Kluyveromyces lactis: one gene and its partners. The protein of the gene in region 1 interacts with the protein of each later gene in a biochemical or structural test. Links are inferred from orthologs where the notes say so. Each region holds a gene or a part of one and is shown in the gene's direction. Other genes may lie near its edges. The genes, in order: STU1, TUB2 and SLK19.

Region 1 (7,633 bases):
TAAGATTGAGGGAACAACGGTAGTCAGAAGCTAACTCGAAATCGGACCTGCCATCCCGGAGTAATCTCCCGTCGTCCTTTTCCTCTTTTTTTCTCCATAATCATGGATTTGTCAAATTTGTGTATTTGTCACTTTCCATTGTTAAGACTTATAAATTTCGAATTTGAAATTTGACAAATTCCAAATAGTCATTTCAAATCAAAAGTAATATCCTTTCGTCACATTGAAGGTATTATATATACTGGGTACTCTTGTATTAGATAATTTGTTGAGTTCTCTTTTCTAGCAAACGAGAAGTGTGTACCAGAAATGACCAGCGCCATGTCTGATTTACCAAAAGTTCAGTGTATTGCAAGAGCAAGAATACCCACAGTGCAAGGTCCAGATATCTTTCTACACTTGTACCAGAACGACAGAGACAACAAGGAACATCTGGCTATAGTCTTCGGAGAGAATATTCGGTCCAGGTCGTTGTTCAGGAGAAACGCAGGCGAGACGCAGGAAGAGCGCATGATTAGAGGCGCATACGTTGGAAAATTATACCCTGGCCGAGTTAAAGCAGATGTGGATGAGAAACAAGGACTCTCACTTTCATTCGATGAAAAGACTGGAGAACTCGTAGTGGAGCCTAATACGACATGGTGCGACAAGGATACGCTAGTCAGAATTCATTCGGAGTGTTACACTGGAGAAACGGCGTGGAGTGCGAGGTGTGATTGTGGGGAACAATTCGATAGAGCAGGGAAACTGATCTCTGTGGAACGTGAGGGTGATATCGTTGGAGGCAACGGCCATGGTGTAATCGTATATTTAAGACAAGAGGGCCGGGGTATTGGGCTCGGAGAGAAATTAAAGGCTTACAATTTACAGGACCTTGGTGCAGACACAGTGCAGGCCAACTTGCTGTTAAAACATCCAGCAGATGGTCGGGATTTCTCCATAGGTAGGGCAATACTAATCGATTTGGGGATCTCAAACGTCAGATTACTTACGAACAACCCGGATAAAGTAGCACAAGTGGAACAGGCGCCATATCTACATTGCGTCGAGCGTGTTCCAATGGTACCCTTGTCGTGGTCTGGTAACCATAAGGATGGGATCCATTCAAAGGAAATAGAAGGCTATTTGAGAACAAAAATCGAAAGAATGGGCCATCTCTTACAAAAACCATTAACGCTACATACAAATAATGATACAAACCACCAATCTACTCCTATTGCCTGAGGTTTTGAGGAAACCTAAATACAACACACATAGTATACCACATATTAATAAGTTTTCCAATCAGAAAGTACATTAAAATAAAAAACCTTGTACACACGTACATGTATATATATATATATATCTAATTGATTCTATCAGCGGATACTTCCATCAATTGATGAGATACACACCCTTCTAATTCTCACCACTTAGTGCCAAAAGATAATCCTTGGCTTCACCAGAAACGGTAGCAAGCACCTCGGAATCGTTCAACACGTAACCAACACTCTTATCCTCACTCAACTGAGTGGTCACTTGGTTCTTCAACTTCTTTTGCTTAGCAATGAAATCTTGATACCCCTTAATACTAGTCAACTCTACTGGCGCACTATTCAAGAAGGATCCAGTAGAGTGTGTCATATTCATCCCATTCAACTTATACATAGACATCTTTGGTAAATTTTTGTAATTCTAATTGATAATTCGATTCTAACTCTGCGATACGTAATAGCTTTACGTGGTACTGATTCACTTTATAAGTTTCAGATCCCGATTCTTTAAACAGATAATAACTATCTTATACCTCTGAAACGGATGCTAACTTAACTGAGAATTAAACTTAGAGTATTGAAAACGCAATTAATAATAATAATATATATATATATATATATATATATATATATATATACAAATCAAAGGAAACAGAAAACGTAAGCAAAAGAGACAGACACCTTTACTTAATCTGATCCTAACTTATTGCATGCATCATCGTTACCATAGTTGATGATAAAATCAAAAAGCACTGCATCGGTAATCGTAATCATGGAAAAGGGAAGAAAAAGGAAAGAAAAAGTCGAAGAAGCAACGCAAACGAACACAATGGGCCAGGGACTTTGATTGTGTAAGGTGCGAGTCACGTGAATGCACGTGACCTATATTTTCTTCCCATCATTTGTGGTGTTTTTCCTCTTTTGTGGAAGTGGCTCAGAAACAAGCGTACCACACGGCTTTCAATTTGTTTACCAATAACAGAAATCTCTAAAGTATCAATAATGGAAACACATTGTTAAACAAACTGGATCATAAATTGTAGACACATCTATACCGGATTATCACACTGGATCAACTACCTTTTACCGCTACTAAGTGTTTAACCTAGTTTTTCTCCTGCTGTTAATACAATTGTGATCCTCTTCAAACAGAAGATACAGGTTTACATGAGTGACGAGTTTAATGGGTTGGACGGTTTGTCCGATGAGCTTTTGTCAGCTGAGAGGAAACTGGATATATTGACCCAGTTCAAGGCTCATGTGAAGAAGACTTTGGTCAATGAGCAAGTGTGTGTGAAATATTTCGAGAATTTAAGCAGGTTACTGGTGGAACGAGGCTCAAATAGGCGACGTGGTAACGATGGAGATGACGTAGTGTTCGCATTAGCTCATTCAGCTCTGTGTTATTTGATTAAACGTGTTGCAATGCAAGCACAACATAAGTTCCAGCATGATCTTATCGAGCTAATCGTTTCGACTTTGTTCAGTATACCTTTTGCAGATAAGAAAGTCTGGCAAAGTTCCGTGAAGGCATTGGAAGCTATATATTTGGCAAAGCCTAATGAGTTTTGTCAGGTGTTGAACGAATCAATAGCGTATAATGGATCCATACGCACGAACGTGTTGTTGCTAATCGATGAGTTGGCAAGAATGGAATCGAGCAACGGGAGAAACGGTTCGATGTTCTTGCAAAAATTTATACCATTTTGGGTCCAAGAGATGAACACCAATGATTCGATATCGAATACAGACATAGAGTTGATATACGATATCGTAGCCAACCGATGCCCCGAGCCTATGGTACGAAGTATGGTCGATTCAGTGATTCGAGAAAGTGCAGCGAAAGTTTTCAAGTCTCGTTTGGTGGGGAAACTTAATAATCATGGCTCCGAGAGCGATATGAAAGATGATTTTGATAGGTCTATCACCCATACAAATAGCATTAATTCCCAAGTTTTCAACTTACAAAATGAATTACAATCCATTATGCATCAGGCGCCGCAATTTCCCACGGTACCTGCCCCAGAGCCAATCTCATACAGCAACTTGAGTTATCTTATAAAAGATTTGGAGTCAATGCTACCAGCGTTTGAAGGTTCAAGGGAAACAGAACAGAATTGGAAAATTAGACAGACAAATGTTACCAAACTTCGATCCATTGTCTTAGGAAACGTTTCCATTGAATTCCCGGACAAATTTTTAGAACTATGGAAAGATCTAAATTTACAATACTGCGTCACTAAATCGGCCCTTTCGTTAAGAACTTCTCTTTGTACCCACGGTTGCAGCTTGGTGAAAGACCTTTGCTGTGTTTTCAATTCCATGTTGGATATCTCAATTATCGAAAACCTTTGGTCATGCCTTGCCAAATTGATGTCAAATACCAAGAAAATCGCCAATCAAAATGCGTTTATTTGTCTCATAACGTTACTATCTACTGTCCCATTCCATTCACGACTATTCAATCACTGTTTTGCGTTAATCAGAGATAAAAATAACGTATCAAGGCTATATTCTTCCACTTTCCTCAGAATTCTAATAGTAAGGTTCCATAAGAGGTTGATATCGCAACATCATGTCTACGTCGAGGAATGGTTGCAAAAAGGGTTAACAGACGCTCAGACAACCATAAGGGAGTCCATGAGAATTACATTCTGGTACTGGTTCAAAGTCTCACCAATGAGTGGCAAGAAAATGCTAAACCTTTTCCAACCTCAGATCAAAAGAGCTCTAGAAAATAGTATTCCTACCCATTTGGATATCAATTATGAGGCAGCTATCCCTCCTCAATCAAAGGAATCGTCAAGAAGGTCAAGCTTACTGCCAAAACGATTCCCCAGTTATGCTGCTCCGACTCAATCGTCCCATTTACCTAGATCGTCAATAAAAAGATCATTAACGGATTTAGCTCAAGGGACGCAATCGTTTAGCAAAAGATCGTTACGTACACCTCCGGATCATGATATGAATATTGATTTAACAAGTGAGTTGACAAATTCACAAACAAATCCGTTGTTGAATCGCTACATGAAGAGAGAAGAGGTTGAACCAGAACCTCTTCATGTCATTTTATCCAAGGACCCTAAACTGGGATTGGATTTACTACAAAAGTATTTATTATCGGATACCAAAATCGGCGATGAAGAGAAGGTCCAATCTGCAATAGTGTCGTTGATAAGAACTAACCCCAAAGCCTTCAAACCCCTTTTGCATTTACCAAAATTCTACCAACTGATTCCTTTAAATTTTTCTATGGTTTTATTGCCATTAAATGACCTCGATATCTCGATGATTGAAACTCAATTCAAAACATATGATATTATAAACAATGTTATTTCAATATTACAATCATTGGAGGATAAAAACTCTGAATGGTCTATATTTTATGTGCGATTCAAATATCAGATATACAATTTCTGTTTCAATACTATAGCAAAAATGCTCAATACGGTTACCCTTTCAGATCAACTGATAAACGAATTAATTAATGCTTGCGGAAAAGATATGGATGCCGAGAAATATTATAAGTTAATTTTAAACATCTATCTTGCAGATAAAACTAAATTCGTACGTTTATTGAAATCAACATCGACTGCATCAACTAAATTGAAAATCGCCAATGTTATTCAGAAAAAAGATTCAGAGTTCAAAATAAAAAGCATATTGAATTATCCTTCAGTGCCTGAACCTATAGTTTCTCCTGAAGAACATCATTTACTTGAAATGACCATGGTAAATCCATTGGGCAAAAGAACTGTCAGCTCTAATACAGTTATACATAACTCACTGGAAGGTTTAGACGAAAGTGAAAGTAATCCTAATATCATTGCTGACGAAGACAACCACTCAGAGAAGGAGGACCTTGTTACGGTGCCACCTGTTGCCAAAAATTCTGTTAACACTGTATCTTTTGTAGCAGATTCGCCTTCTGATTCAGATAATGACGACACTAAAAAAAACGGATCAGATGTTGTGGATCATGAAGAAATTAGAGACCATGAAGAGTCACATGGCTTTACAAAGTTTGGAGGATTCTCAAAGTTAACAGAGATGACAAAAGTGCACAGTGTTTTCCAGCCTGAAACAGTGGATGAAAATGTTGATCCTATGGAGGTCGATTCACCTGATGAATCTAATTTGGATCAAAAGTCATTGCTTACAGACATTTTTTTGAAAAATCAACATCAAGAAGGATCAGTATCACCTATATTCAAGCCTCAGGAATTAAATAATGATCCAAGACATGATTACGATTCCGACATGTTAAGTGATGCGATAAATGGCATAGAAATCAAGACAAATGATGGGTCGGTTGCAAATAGATCTGAAGATGATATTAAAACTCTTGGTACTAACATGGGTTCTGTTTCCGACCCCAAAACATTCAAACCTATCAACCTTGCTCATTTTGCCAATGATTCGTTGTTTTCGTTTGAATTGAAATTTATCGATGCTTCCATAGGCATCGTAAATTTGACGCAGCTGAAATTGATAGTCCAGTCGATTATAAACAATGGCACTTTCAAAATGAATGAATTGCAATATATCTTGAAATGTTTCTTATGCTACGATCAAGAGGTCTTAGAATGGATACACGATCAGCACGAACTGAAGGATGTTTGGGCAATAACTGAATTATTACTTTCATCAAGTTCATCAGAATCACAGATTCCTACAAATATTGCATATAAATCAATCATTCTCACTGCTTGTCTACTAACGATTGATGATGAACTTGAGCATACAGTATTGAAAGATTCAAGCATAAGCCAACTGTTCGAACACATTATATCGCTAGTTGCTAAGCTCGATACTTTCGAGAATGAAATATACTTCGCTTGCACCGAACTGAGAACCCTTTTATTGTCTCAAGACAACAACAAACATCTACCGAGCTTCTTGGAGAAATGCTTGAAAGCATTATGCGATACAAAGGAGCAGTACATTGTCAAAATCAGCTTCTTACTAGAGACAATCAATGGTATCATTAGTTCGATGGGCAATTTACTCTCTGTAGATGTCCTACGGGATCTCGCTAAAACAATCTCCAGATATACACCAAGCGATGTTGCTGAGTGGCGATTTGCATCCTGCACCGCTCTTGCTACCATATACAGCCAGTTGATATCCAGAAGCACCCCAGTAGGCTATATACGGTCACTAATGCCTCTGTTGGACCCATCTGACTTCGAAGTCGTCAGGTCGTTATCGACGACGAAAGACGCGACGCGTCGACTGGGCTGAAATATTGCATATCGATATTGTTCAATCATCATTCCATATAAGCATGCAATGCATTTAAGAATATAGATATAGATCGAGTACATAATCCATTGAACAACACCCATTAGCATTCAATTATCTGGGTCCCATTCATTTATTTGAGCTTGAATTTTTAATCTATATTGCTTGATTGACTGTCGACATCTAAGATAACGATGAGCATTGAGAACGAGTTAGTATCAAAGTTTGGAGCATCAGCCGACAAAGCTGAGGTAATATCCACCTTGCAGCACTACATGAAAATATATGATTTGAGTGTGGATGAAATATATATTAAGTGGGAGCAATTTTCGTATCATAATAAGGACAAATATGCTGTTAATTCATATTCTGATCAGATCTTGCAAGAGTTCAAGGATTATATCCAGCAACAAATGGAAAAGAAGGTGAACACATCCATTGTGTTAAATCCATCCATAAATTCTTCAATTAAAAAGCCAAAAATGCTAATTCCTAGTACAAATTCTCCATCCATATTTGGGCTTGGCATACCAAATACTCCTACTTTAAAAAAACGTAGATTAGAAGCAGGCACTCCAACCGAGGCTTCCAAAGTCAGCCCATCAGCGGCTAACAGCACATCAATACTGAATACATCGCCATCAGTGACTACCCCAACAACGGCAACTCCGGCTAATCTGAAAAATGCAAGTGAACCAGATAAATGCTTAGTGACGCTAAATGTTGATAATGTTGCTAAAGCTGAAGGGATTGACTTCGATAACGATAGTAAGGTCAAGATCTCTCCTTTCTATGATCCCAAGAAATATAAATTCAGGACAATGAGACAAAGTCTACTGGATACTGCAGATGTATTAGACGAACAGATAGATATTTTCAGCGAAATTATCCAAAAGCATTATAATCTTAAACCATCAGATATCGGCGACCCTACTTTCCAACAACAATCAGAGGTTTATACTGTTGGAAGGATTGTGCCAGACTCTGTTAATGCCGAGGGTCCGCTAAATGTTGACTCTCTAGCTATAGAAACATCTAGATCGACAGGCATCGGTAGAAGAATAAGGCTAAACTTCGAGAAGATTCAAAACTTATCAGTGTTTCCTGGTCAAATCGTCGCACTCAAGGGGAAAAAT
Region 2 (6,664 bases), on another chromosome or scaffold:
AGTTTGATATAACGTTGGTAGGCTGTCGGTAGAATAGTTATATCGTAGTATATTGTATTCATGAGGCAGTTATCGATCTCTGGATGTTAGTACATCTGGTTTATTTTACAATTCATTATGACCGCATATCGTCTTAATCCTCCGTATATTAATGTGTATATTCAAAATCACGTGACATATATGTACGTTACCCGGATTATAATGACTCGGCAGTTGAAATCTATACGTGAATATATGTTACGTGGATCATCATCAACTATCATTGAAGCAACGGGAAGGTATTAATAGATCAGGTTAATATTCGACAGTACATTTATGTACATCTATCTCTATCTCTGAAGAATCTCACCCACCCATTGTAGAATGGCTGGAAAATCGTCCAAGAAGATTGCTGCAAAGAACGCAGCCATCTTAAAGCAGTTGCACGTACTAGTCGTCGCTATACTATCTTTAACGTTATTGAGGAAATGGTTCAGTAATGGGCTGATTTCAACCCTAAAACCTATTCTTTTCAATGTGCCGATGTTGTTATGTTTATATATTCTCGAACGTACCGGTAGACCAAAATATGAAGTCAGTAACGCTGCGCATGGAAAATATAAACTAGTTAATGAAGGGTTCGATTTGGAATCTGGTGGACTCACTGAATACATGAAAGATATCGTGTATGTTTCCTTGTTCTGTAACCTGGGAACAGTTTTCTTCAACACGATGAAATGGTGGTTCTTGGTATTAGTGTGCCCTGCGTTTATTTTCTACAAGTTGTACTACTTGAAGCAACAGTATTTCCCCGGTGCCTCAGCTTCAAAGGCGGATCTCGCAGAGACAACGCCCGCTGAACCTTCCAAATCAAAGAGACAATTGAAGAGGGAAAAACGTGGTGATAAATCTCAGGTAAGATACCGATAGATTAATGTTAGAGAAGGGGTTGTATATACTATATCCATCATATATCTACGAATACATTCTCTTATATATAGAGAAAGTAAGAAAGAAAGGAATAATGATTGTAATTGAAATTAAGTCTAACTATAATAGGCTCTAAATAGACAACCACCGGCTCTTTCGTTAAAGCTATGTGGGGCAAATGGTGCTTAATGTTGTTTGTGATGTATACGGGATATTAATTCTTCGAAATATGGTAATTATCAGACAGTTCTTAAATTCAGTTCCTGATTTTTCAGACACTTAGTGTATAGTAACATAGCGATGATGCTATCCAATTTAGCAACAACCACCATTGGATCCAGTCAATGATTGGCCCTTTAAGTTGACGTTGGACTTGTCTTCAGCTCTACCATTATCTTTTTGTTGTTTGGCGACACTTTCCTTGATTTGCTTGGTCATGATCAAGAAGGCCTCCTCAACGTTAGAAGAATCTAGTGCACTGGTTTCGATGAATGGAATTCCAATAGAATCTGCGAACTCTTTAGCAACTTCGGTGTCAACCACCTTCTTATCTGTCAAATCGTTCTTGTTACCAACTAGTAACTTCAACACACCAGCTGTACCGAAACGGTCGATTTCTTGCAACCATGTCTTGACGTTGTTGAAGGATTCTTGGTCTGTTACATCGTAAACGATAATTATACCGTGGGCACCACGGTAGTAAGAAGATGTAATAGTTCTGAATCTTTCCTGACCGGCAGTATCCCAAATTTGTAGCTTAACAGTTTTGCCATCTAACTCAACAGTCTTGATCTTGAAATCAACACCGATGGTGGATATATAGTCGTTGGTATAGGTATCATCGGCAAATCTTAACAATAAACAAGATTTACCAACACCGGAATCACCAATCAACAATAATTTGAACAAATAATCGTATTCGGTATTCATTTTTTCTTTGTTTGCTTGTAGTTTATAGCGACTGATACGATTCGACTGTTTGTTAAAAAATATGGGCTCCTTTTGTAAGTTGTGATTGGATGGACTGCGTTGTAAGTTTACAATATTTCTCTATTTTAAACACACCTTTCTGTATCCCTCGTTGTTAATATCTCTCCGTTAAAGAAAATGAGTAAAGGAAGTATAAGATAAAATATGATAACAACCCCAAAATAAAAGTCTATCCTTTAGTTAAGCTTTCAGTAAATATGCAACAGTAACCAGAAAAAAAGCAAGCGTCTTATCAAACCGCATTTGGAATAACTGAAACTATGCTATTGTTGCTTAATAGAATGTATTTCGGTCCAGGTTTCACTGTTTGAATTTTGTTCTCCTGAACGGAAAAGATTCCACAAAAGATTACCATCACGTGACACAGAAATACACAGTGTTGTTGATATAGATCAGTAATGAACCTGTTACACTACACTGAACTATTTCGGACAAGTAATGAAATGGATGAAGACATTACAAAGTTCAGGTAACTGATAGGAATGATTCGTAGTAATCTTTAGGGGAGATGTGAAACTCTACAAAATCTCACAGGATGTAAGATGCGAATGCAAGAATCTTTGCTTGGATGAGTTTTTTCTAAGTTAAGATACATATATATGTATGCATGTGTATATCTAGATGCTCTACTGACTAACTTGCAGGAAGACTCTATGAATGAACTTAAGTTTCGAGTTTCTAACTGGTTCTAGCGTTTTCAAGCAAGGATTCTATCAAAGAAGACTTTAGCCAAATGTTTAATGCCTAACCATTTGTCCATGAACATAGGCAAACGAGTTGAGATGAAGTTTTCAATCATCATTTGGTTCTGGTTACATAGCAACCTCATTTGTTCACTTTGATTGTATCTTAACTTAAAGAATATAGCGTATGCCCAGATTGATAGAAGTGTGAATAAACTCTTGGCATTGAATGTGATAAGCACAGAGATTAACTGTATGGGCAGCATGAGACACACTTTGCACATCGTTACAAGTTCTGACATCACTGCAGCATGGAAGAAAGACCCGTTGAAATTGGTGATGAAATACGAGATTTTATTTGACAATGAACCTTTTAACATGGGGTTCATTGGAATGAATGGCAATACATTCTCTTTGAAATAATTCAATGCATGGAACAAAGAGTATATAACCATAGATGATTCAGTTTGAGTTAAAGTTTTCCCTCCTGATAGAGAACATATCAAAAGAACAATGGAAAGTGTAAAATATTGTAGGTTATCCAACTGTCTGATCTGCTGTTTTAAATTCGACCACTGGAATCTTAACTGTTTTGATTTCACATATTGGTGAAGCACAATCCCATAACTGATCACTGTGTATAGCATGATCTTCCTGTAATTTGTCTTTACACTTTGTTCTCGGAATGAGAGCATATATTGGATATAATAGTATAAGCATAACGTGTGACCAAGGAACCAATAGAACTGAGGCTGTTTCAACTTCGTACGGAACACAGCACTCAGAGGGGCTACAGGTCTCTGAGCAGGCCTGTTGCCTCCATTTTGACCGGCAGCATTGGAATAACGATTACCACTGCCATTGCCACTTCCCTCAGACATCTTCTTGAAAAGAAAACCTTTAAAATGAAACCTTAGTAACTAACTCACGAAAGTTCTTTTGGAGACGAGATAATCAACTGCTATTGAGCCGCTAAGTTAAGAGTTCACAATCAACGATGACAAAAACACCTTGAAAAGCTAAATATGTAAACAGCTTTCGTCTTCAATACACAATCAGTTAATCAATTGATAGCCAAAAATATAAGAAAAAAAAAAAAAAAAGAGACCTGCTAACCTGATCCGATTCGATTCGGTTCGAAATAGAATACCGTAGCTTAATCAAAGTAACCTTCCGATTACTATATACATAAAAATGTAGCACTGGACAGATCAATTCCAACTAGTCAAACCCTCTTTCGCTTCTCCAACTAATAGGTTTCCTTCTCTTAACAAACTGTACTGGACGTTTTTTCCCTCTTTAAATTTCCTAATCCTGAAATCCGTTTCTCTTTAAATTTTCACATCGTCTTTAAATGTCAGCTAGAATCGAAAGTTAGGGAAAATTGCAGTATTCCAGTTTCCGTATGATTCTATCATATACGGAAAGTCAGCTGTGAAGAAAATGATCCGAGAAAATAGTCTGTTCAGTCTTTGGACTCATGGAACACTTCGACAACTATTCTAAATCTTAGGGGAATGTGTTGCTCACTTGCAACCTCAACTCTTGTCTTTAGATGAACTGACACTACGCAGGAATTCACACATCACAGTCACGTGCAAATCACGCGATGTAAGTTTCCGTTTCCCGTATTACCCGCACACTTAGCAACCCACAAAGGGAAATAGACGTGCTCGAAAATTGCCTAAAGAAGTGAAACAAAGATCAAAATACAAACAAAGATATGAGGAAAGAGAAGGAGGAAAAAAATAAACAAATAAAAACAAATAAATAAACAATTTAAAGTGGTTAAATAAGTGAACACAGACGTGATTGTGAACAGGCTTGCACGGGTTAGAGATAACTTTATAGATAACAGCTGTGAGAACTCGTCTATTTCGATTTGTTAGTTTGTTTGTTTAATATACTGTGGACAAGACTACTATTTTTACCCATATTATATTTCACTTTTTTCTTGTAAAGGACAGAGAGATCGCATAATTATTTTTTTTTCTTGAAAGAACAAGGATCAACAATTACTGGATTATAGATACCCCTCGATTGTATCAACACCAAGTCTTTCTACAATTTGCCTGTGCTGTGTTTCTTCAATTGTCATTTTTTGAGATCAGATCAATAACGCGCTCAGAGATATTCTAAAACATGAGAGAGATCATTCATTTGTCCACAGGTCAATGTGGTAACCAAATTGGTGCTGCGTTTTGGGAAACTATTTGTGGTGAACACGGTTTGGATTTTGAAGGTAACTATCACGGTATCGATGATATTCAAAAGGCTAGATTGAACGTTTACTTTAACGAAGCCTCTTCTGGTAAATGGGTTCCAAGATCCGTTAACATTGATTTGGAACCTGGTACCATTGATGCTGTACGTAACTCTAAGATTGGTACTTTGTTCAGACCAGATAACTACATTTTCGGTCAATCTTCAGCAGGTAACGTGTGGGCTAAAGGTCATTACACTGAGGGTGCTGAATTGGTGGATTCTGTCATGGACGTTGTCAGACGTGAAGCTGAAGGTTGTGACTCTTTGCAAGGTTTCCAAATCGCCCATTCCCTTGGTGGTGGTACCGGTTCTGGTATGGGTACTTTGTTGATCTCTAAGATCAGAGAAGAATTCCCTGACAGAATGATGGCTACTTTCTCCGTTGTCCCATCCCCAAAGACTTCAGATACCGTTGTAGAACCATACAATGCCACTCTATCTGTACACCAATTAGTCGAACACGCTGATGAAACTTTCTGTATCGATAATGAAGCCCTTTACGATATATGTCAAACTACTCTAAAATTACCACAACCAGATTATGCGAACTTGAACCATTTAGTTTCAAGTGTCATGTCTGGTGTCACTACATCCCTACGTTACCCAGGTCAATTGAACTCAGATCTAAGAAAATTGGCCGTGAATTTGGTGCCCTTCCCAAGATTACACTTCTTCATGGTTGGTTATGCTCCATTAACCTCGATTGGTGCCCAATCTTTCAGATCCCTATCTGTATCAGAATTGACCCAACAAATGTTCGATTCAAGAAATATGATGGCTGCATCTGATCCAAGAAACGGAAGGTACTTGACTGTTGCTGCATTCTTCCGTGGTAAAGTAAGCGTGAAAGAAGTTGAAGATGAAATGCATAAGGTTCAAACTAGAAACTCGTCGTACTTCGTAGAATGGATTCCAAACAACGTGCAAACAGCCGTCTGTTCTGTACCTCCAAAGGACTTAGACATGTCTGCTACTTTCATTGGTAACTCTACATCCATCCAAGAATTATTCAGAAGGGTCGGAGATCAATTTAGTGTTATGTTCAAGAAGAGAGCTTTCTTGCATTGGTATACTAATGAAGGTATGGAAGAAATTGAATTTTCTGAAGCTGAATCTAACATGAATGACTTAGTAAGTGAATACCAACAATATCAAGATGCTACTGTTGAAGATGACGAAGAATTGGAATTCGTTGACGAACAACCAATGGCTGAAAACTTCGAGTAAAGAATATAAAGGAAAACTTCAGCAGGAAAAAAAAAGGAATAAGGAACAAAGATCAGATGTGTACAGAAGATAAGTTTATCATTTTGAGAGCAGTACCACTGAAAGCAAATTATTTGGACACGAGATAAACAATAAACAATGTACTTCAGAAAGATATTTTCTTTCTTCTTATAGTTTTCCTTTCGTTACTTCTACTATTCTAATACTATTCCCCACACCACTAGTAGAAGCGGAAAATTTCGAAATATGATACCACCCTTACTATAATTTATATGCTTTTTGTTTCTCTGCTCAATGATATGTACTATCAATGTGACCCAAAACATTTCTTTAGTATTTGTTTCTATTTTTTTTTAATAATATCATATCTTACTACATAATTTTAGTCTTCACATTATAATACGTGATTCTTCATGATATATTTGACTCAGATGTCAACACAGTAGTATGTGAATGTTTCAATGACTTATCCTCTTCCCCAGGCCTGATCAATCATTTCACAGATCAACGAAACATACCAAGAACAAAAAGAAATAAATTTTTCACAATAGTACCCGAAGAAAAAAATTAATAAGGAACTAAACTGATGT
Region 3 (7,067 bases), on another chromosome or scaffold:
TTACCATTGGTACCAAAAGCTCATAAGCACTTTCTATGCGTCCCAAAAGTCATCAACTTTACATTCTAAAGGTCTAGTTTGGTACAAAAATTGGTGGAATGAGGAATCTCTCTCAGAGTTCATCGACTTATATTACGGAATCATGGATGAATTGATGCTATTATACAAACTTAAACTTTGGTCTAATAAATCGATGCATGCCTGGGTTTCTAAACACGAAGCTCTCTCATGGTATTACGACATTATGCTAGGGTTGAAGAAAAATTGGGAGAAACTTCAATCAATCAAACAACAGGAATTTGAATTGAAGATCCAGTATCAGGTACGTCAACGCGCATTGGAACTATCCTCAAAATTAAATGCCACCCCATCTGTTGATTCCAATAAGAATACAGCACTTATAAAACAGACTATCTTCGAGAGTTTCAAGCAGGACAACCTAGATTTAGAACTGGAAGTAGTACAAAAACTCAAGAACTACCAGTATGAGAAACGCATTGTCAAGTTTGATCTGACTAGACTATTCTTTGATTTCCTAGCTGATACTACAGATGTGTTCTCTATCAAAACACCACCTGGTACATATGCCATTTTGTCTCTATGCTCTGGTGTACTTGGATTCTCCAAGCTATGGATACAGGCGAAAGAGCAACCAAATGAATGAGTAACATACCCTTTGAAAATGTGTACCAAAAATTTCTTAGTACATTTCCCTGTATAACTCACAAGTAACACAAAGTATCAATAAGCTACAGACAGGCTATATTTTAGTGACTTTTGCAATGCTGCTTAAAAGAAGTGCTCAAAGACATATAACTTTACATGGGTACCTGATTAAGATCCGATTTGGACGGCTTTGCAAGCGATATTATATAAATTATTCTATGAATTATATAGTGTCAGAAGGTTAGAGAATAATGAATTAACATCAATAATGATTAGGAGATATGAACATAAACCTCTATGATAGAAAGTAGGATAGAATAGAAAGGAAAAAAAAATATTAACTTTAGAACCTGAAGTAAAGAGAAAAATAATGCAAGGAGACGGAACTAATGGAAATGGATAATTACCATTCACTTTCTCCCTGGGCTTTCTGGAAAGCAAAGTCTTTATGGTCTATTGTCACTACACCTTCTTTTAAATTACACTTCCACTTATTTTTGACTCTCAGCACCTTGTCATATAGACATAGCATCATATTGACATCTGTGCCCTCATCCTCGACGTCCATGTTGACATAGTCGTCATCGGAGTCATCCAAATCAGAATTGATTTCATCGGTTTCTAATAACGCGGATTTCTTGGCTTGCTTTGCTTGTAATTTCAGCTGTTTAGTCAAATCTCCATCTGGATCATTCATAGAGAACTCTATTTCTTGTTTTGGTTTCATTTCATTATCTTCTATTTGCAGTTCATCATTATTCACCATATCTGAGGACCCATTATTTATATTGCTGCCAATGATATCTGCTTCACCGGCACTAGCAGCAGCTCCAGAATGATTTATGGAATTATCGTTGAATTCGCCGTTTGGTAGTTTAACCACAGGCTCGGCAACTGTTGATGCACTGGTTGTATTTTCTGGGTCCCAAATGAATGTGGCGGCTTTGCTTTCACTTAGTTTCATCTGCCAAATTCGTTTGAGATCTTGCAATGTCTGTTCATCCACTCCCGAATCTTCAAATTCTTGTCTGACATCGTTGATAACAGTCTCGAGCACGGTTTCATATACCTTTGATGCCTCGATATTCGACATATTGGAAAAGTACTTGAAGAGTTTCTTCTTTCTCTAATAATAACAAAAGAATTAAAGACCTTATTAAGCCGTTTATTCTAAAAGCTATTCCGATTCCGACCCGGTACTAGAAATTAAAATAATCCTTCCTTTAATCGTTAAACTGAAATCCTTATATAATAGGATACCGTAAGTTAATTTATAGAGGAGGAACTTCAATCAAAGTTCCAAAGTGTTCAGAAAATCAGTTTCAAAATATGGAGAACGATAGCGCTTTTCTCTGAAAAAATATCTATTGCACAGTTTCCACCCAGGTTTAGTGTCCGCTTCACAAGTAGTTCAGCTACTGATGCGGCTGGTTTCCCTCTCCTCATTGACACTCCATATAAGGTATTGTTATTATTCAGATTTAATTTTCCAGTTTCCATTTCACTGAAAAAATAATAATATGAAATTATATATTACCCGGATATCACGTACTCAGCTTAAATATTCAGTGTTCGATATTTATATGGTAAACATAGGCATAGTAAATAAAAACAGTAACAAAGCTTCATTACGATCGATAAGTGTGTTGTCACAAAAGGCCAGATCCATATCGTCGGTGCCACGATCTGAAGTTCAATATTGTATTACTGCTTCAACGAAATCATTGCAAAGCAAGACAGACACCACTTACATAGTTTCAAAGAGGTGCTAAAATTGAGGTTTTGTTGCGCATCCTATCGTTTCTCGGCGGATAAGTGAAGAGAACACGAGTACAGCACCTATGGATTTCGGAGATAAACCCAAGCTAGAGTTTGCTGGCTCTGGTGATAAGCTTAACTCTCCTATAAGATTGGTTCCTGATGAGAGCAACAAGGAAAACGTACACGCATTGGAAAGCGATGATCAACAGAGCGATAAGGAGCAGACCTACAAGAGAAGTAAAATAGAGTACTCATCCCCAGAAAAGATTGAGATGCTTAATAGTTTATCTCCTATAAAAATAGATATCGAAGGAAATGATGGAATTGAGTCTGATTTGAAAAAATCAGTCGCCACAGCCATTGAAGAAGCAGTGCAAGATTTCAAAAAGGATTCAAAAGCGGAAGAAGATGAAGAAGAGGCATTCGGCAAGTTAAATAATGGATTTCGTGGTTATCATGAATCCTCCACTGCAAACGCTTCTGGATCAGCTGGTTCTGATGCACCACAACATGCTCACTGCCATGAGTCATTGTCACCGATAAGGTCGTATGGTGATAAAGAGATGCCTCTCGACCCATCAGACCCCACAGTCTGGGAGAAGAAGTTTGATGATTTATCATCCGTAATATGGGATAAATATGAAGAGATTAAGTATCTCAATGATACTGTACAGAACTTACGAGAAAGAACAGTAGAAGCGGAATTTAATAAAGAGAGAGACAAATTGGAACTTATCAAATGGGAGCAGAAATATGGCGACGTATTATCAAAACTGTATAGGAGTGAGCATAAACTCGAACAGTTTGATGAATTGAAACTCCAATTTGATAGTGTCAGCAAAAAGTTCGAAGCCTGCAAACAAAAATTGAAAGAGGTCAAAATAGAGTTATCTATGACAAATCAGAACAACCACATTCTATCTGAGAAGTTCGAGAAAGAATATACCAAATTCACTGAGAATGAAAACTTGGTCAATGAATGGAAAGATAAACATGATTCTTTACTATTGGAACTTAATGTGAAGACCAAGGAACTCAAGTCAATTACCGATGAGCTACGCTCGTTAAAGGAACAATATGAACGAAACGAAAACAAGTTGTCTGAAGTTGAAAGTGAAATACAGGAGCTGCGTAAGAAAATGGAAGAAGAGACAATTGTATTCCAAGACACAATTAAACCTAGAGATCTAAGTATAACCGAGCTAAACAAAAAATTACAGCAATTTGAAGCAAATGGTTCAGATGAAGTTAGCTCTTTGAAAAGTAAGCTCCAAATCACTGAAGCAGAATTAGATAGTAAGAAGAATGAAATTGAGTCATTGAATTTGAAGCTCAGTACAAAGGAAACAGCATTAGAAGAGCTTAGGTCACATATCACTCAGGTCACCGAGGATAAAGAGAAATCATTATCTGAGTTAGAGCAGACCAAAAGGGACTTAGACTCTCTTACAAGCAGAAACGGCAACATAGAATCCGAACATTTAGCAGAACTAGAAAGATTACACGAAAATATGTCGCATATGGAAACTAATCTGAAGCAAAACGTCAAAACTATCGCTAATTTAAATGAAACTGTCAACAATTTTGAGAATAAATGTAAATCATTGGAAGCAGAAAATATCGATTTGAAAGCACGTCTAACACAGACAGAAACCAATGTTAACAAATCAGAAACGGATGAACTCCGAGCTAAGATCCAGAAATTGGAAAAAATGGTTGCAGATTCAGAAGCAGAAACTAACAAAAAGTTGCAATTATTAGCTGAAGATCTTTACATCCAATACTCTTCCAAACACGAGCAAAAAGTCAAGATGCTCAAGAAAGGGTACGAAGCCAAATACCAAGACCTGTTGGACAAACTAACAGTCGAAAATAACGCATTGCACGACGAAGTGGATCAATTGCAAAAAGCAGTGGAAATAGAGAGAGCGGAAAAACAAGAGCTAATAAAGTCTCTTGACAACTAATGTGTGTGTATATGAGTACGTACCTATTATAGATCAAATATACTCCGGAGAAATCTGGTTTTCTTACTATCTTCTCTTCCATTCGAACCTTTCCGGTGGCAATTATGTATTTGCTTTCGTTTTGTTTTTCCGTTTTCCAGAGACAAGTTCCCGACGCATGCTCTTTCCAGTATGGGACACTCAATTCGTGAGCATTTCGGGATGTTGTGTTCTGCGCCGATCTCAGCCTATAATAGCCGCACTTTACCGAACTACTGATATCAAGGATGACTATGGGGAACAAATTTCTCGAATGAATGTATCCTTTACTAATGACATAACAATGGATTGATTGATAAATAAAAGTGCATCGCGTCCTCTTGTAATTAGCAGTATTTTAGTTATCAATGAAAAACTTTTCGCCTGCGAGGAGTAATAAGATTGCATTTCTGAATGTGGTGTTGCAAATCCGAATGGCACTTTATCGCACTTCAATCGAACCGCGGTCATGGAAATAATGAATCATGAAAAATAAAAAGCTAAGCTTTGACTGTGACAGATTTTTGGAGGTACATTTAATGAAAATATGACTGCTACATATTAGAGAAGACCATGATATGATGTTTCATATATAAACTATAAATACGTAGTCTTCCCTGACGGAATGCATATTCTCACAGAATATTACACCATTGTCACAAGCATTCTACGGCTGATCCGGTTGTCACAGAAAATATCAATTCGAAAGACAGTACAGCGATAGAATATTGTAATGACAATGACTACCAAATTCAAGATTCTCATTCCCAGAAAGAATAAGAACGATATCGCTTCTGACTCAGCAGAATTCCAAAGAATTGCAGAATTAGTTGATTTCCAATATTATGAATTGACCAATTCTGAAGATTTCAAGAAATTTTTACTCTCAAGCAATATCGATGCTCTTTGGATCACTGAAGAAATGTTTGTGTATTTGGAAGCTCCATCCACGTATTTAGACTATTTCCCTAAATCATTGAAATTGATTTTGGTTCCATGGGTTGGAACAGATTTCTATGACGCGAAATTGTTGAAGGAAAAGTACGGCATCAGTTTGTGTAATGGCGGTCCAGTGGCATCAGAAAACGTTTCTGATTTGGCAGTGTTCTTGACATTGAGTTGCTTCCGTTTGACGTCCTTCTGGGAGCACTCATTCAGGTTTGTTCATAGAGGTAGCATCCAAGAATGTCGAGGATATATCGGAGGTACACACCATGATACTATTCCTGGATTTGCGCTGGTTGAAGGTAACGATGACTTGCATAAGACGGTCTCTGCGCAACAAAAGTTCCCAAAAAAGCCTGAAAACGACAAGTTCTTGAACCTTGCGAAGGATTATAAGATAGCGGGCAAAGTAATGGAATCACCAACAGATAAGAATGCGTTGATTGTTGGTTTTGGTTCCATTGGCCAAGCTATTGGTAAAAAATTGCATACAACTTTTAACATGAATATATCATACACAAAAAGAAATGGCCCTATCCCAGAATCTGTTCTAGGATATAAGGCTAATTATATACCATCCATGGATGATGAAGCGTTCTGGAGAGACGCTGATCTTATAGTACTAGCATTACCTGGAACTCCAGACACAGAAGATATTATTGATAAGACTACATTGGAAAAATGTAAAGACGGTGTGCGTATCGTCAACGTTGGTCGTGGATCTTGTATTAACGAAGATGATTTATTAGATGCATTGGATAGTGGGAAGGTCATGTCAGCTGGCCTTGACGTCTACAAAAATGAATCGGACGTTGTGGATTCAAGATTCTTCGAAAGATGGGATATTACCTTACTTCCACATATTGGCTCCACAGTCATAGAAATACTCCAAAGGCAGACTGCTGCCACGTTAGAGAATATTGAAGGATTCTTCTTGAAAGGAACTGGCACAAAATACCCAGTTAACTAATGTTCTGAATATCTTCAAACTGGCGCTGGAAATGTTGGCTAACAATGATGGAAATATTACTAAAATGAGATGAAAAGTGTATTGATACTGCATAACCACCTTGATATCAACCACTCTTTGAGTTTTGAAGGCCTACTCGTTAAATAATAATAAATCCGAATATATACTGCATTACATAATCCAAGGCGGGGATCAACATTCATTAATTAACTGCTCCCAGCAGGCGTTCTTTCTAAGAACAGAGACTGTTGGCTGGTCGATTATAACATCTACAAAAGATCCAACTCATTATTACCGCCAACTCGTAATATATCCATCTCTGACAGAAGTCACTAAACGCGTTACAAGCCGTCTTCCCTTCGGCTTCCCTTTTATGTCAAGGACATTAAATTTTAGAAACCGTGAAAAATTGAATATCGCGTATCAAAGAATATTTTTCATAAAAGCTACTTTAATATCGTAACGTGTTTATCATTCAAATAGCGTCGTGATAACTTGAACCCTATTTATCAAACAGTACCTAGTATCAGTATCTGAGGTCTACGGAGTGATATATTCTTCAATTTTAGATTTTGCTGGTAAAGTTTGGGGTACAATATATGAAGAGCTTGAGGATATCGTTTTATCTTTAAGAGTATACCCAATCTTTTCACAATTTAGACCATCAGGACAATACGGTGGGCAGAAACAGCTCTTTCTCTGACTCTATCGCATTGAATCCTCATCGTCAGGTCTTTGTA

Evidence for each region.
Region 2: the proteins of STU1 (region 1) and TUB2 form a complex in vitro, tested with the Saccharomyces cerevisiae proteins (2 studies listed by BioGRID, with this or other methods). The link is inferred for Kluyveromyces lactis from reciprocal best matches to the Saccharomyces cerevisiae genes STU1 and TUB2.
Region 3: the proteins of STU1 (region 1) and SLK19 form a complex in vitro, tested with the Saccharomyces cerevisiae proteins (2 studies listed by BioGRID). The link is inferred for Kluyveromyces lactis from reciprocal best matches to the Saccharomyces cerevisiae genes STU1 and SLK19.

The regions. Positions count from the first base shown.
Region 1 is NC_006038.1:1,076,043-1,083,675, reverse strand, and holds STU1 (Stu1p), read left to right. Parts: upstream 1-2,420; coding exon 2,421-6,497; downstream 6,498-7,633. Other genes in the region: RIB1 (GTP cyclohydrolase II), read left to right, coding at 310-1,224; KLLA0_B12353g (uncharacterized protein), read right to left, coding at 1,399-1,653; DNA-directed DNA polymerase alpha subunit POL12, read left to right, coding at 6,692-7,633.
Region 2 is NC_006040.1:454,671-461,334, reverse strand, and holds TUB2 (beta-tubulin), read left to right. Parts: upstream 1-4,724; coding exon 4,725-6,074; downstream 6,075-6,664. Other genes in the region: SND2 (Snd2p), read left to right, coding at 364-909; Rab family GTPase YPT1, read right to left, coding at 1,225-1,839; PER33 (Per33p), read right to left, coding at 2,597-3,463. UniProt on the Saccharomyces cerevisiae protein: Tubulin is the major constituent of microtubules, a cylinder consisting of laterally associated linear protofilaments composed of alpha- and beta-tubulin heterodimers.
Region 3 is NC_006042.1:63,460-70,526, forward strand, and holds SLK19 (Slk19p), read left to right. Parts: upstream 1-2,507; coding exon 2,508-4,394; downstream 4,395-7,067. Other genes in the region: PEX25 (Pex25p), read left to right, coding at 1-664; TOA1 (transcription initiation factor IIA large subunit), read right to left, coding at 1,070-1,759; KLLA0_F00792g (glyoxylate reductase), read left to right, coding at 5,146-6,327. UniProt on the Saccharomyces cerevisiae protein: Has a role in spindle assembly and stability. Required to ensure a timely exit form mitosis. Essential to maintain pre-anaphase spindle polarity. Associates to the plus ends of the microtubules at the kinetochore and spindle midzone.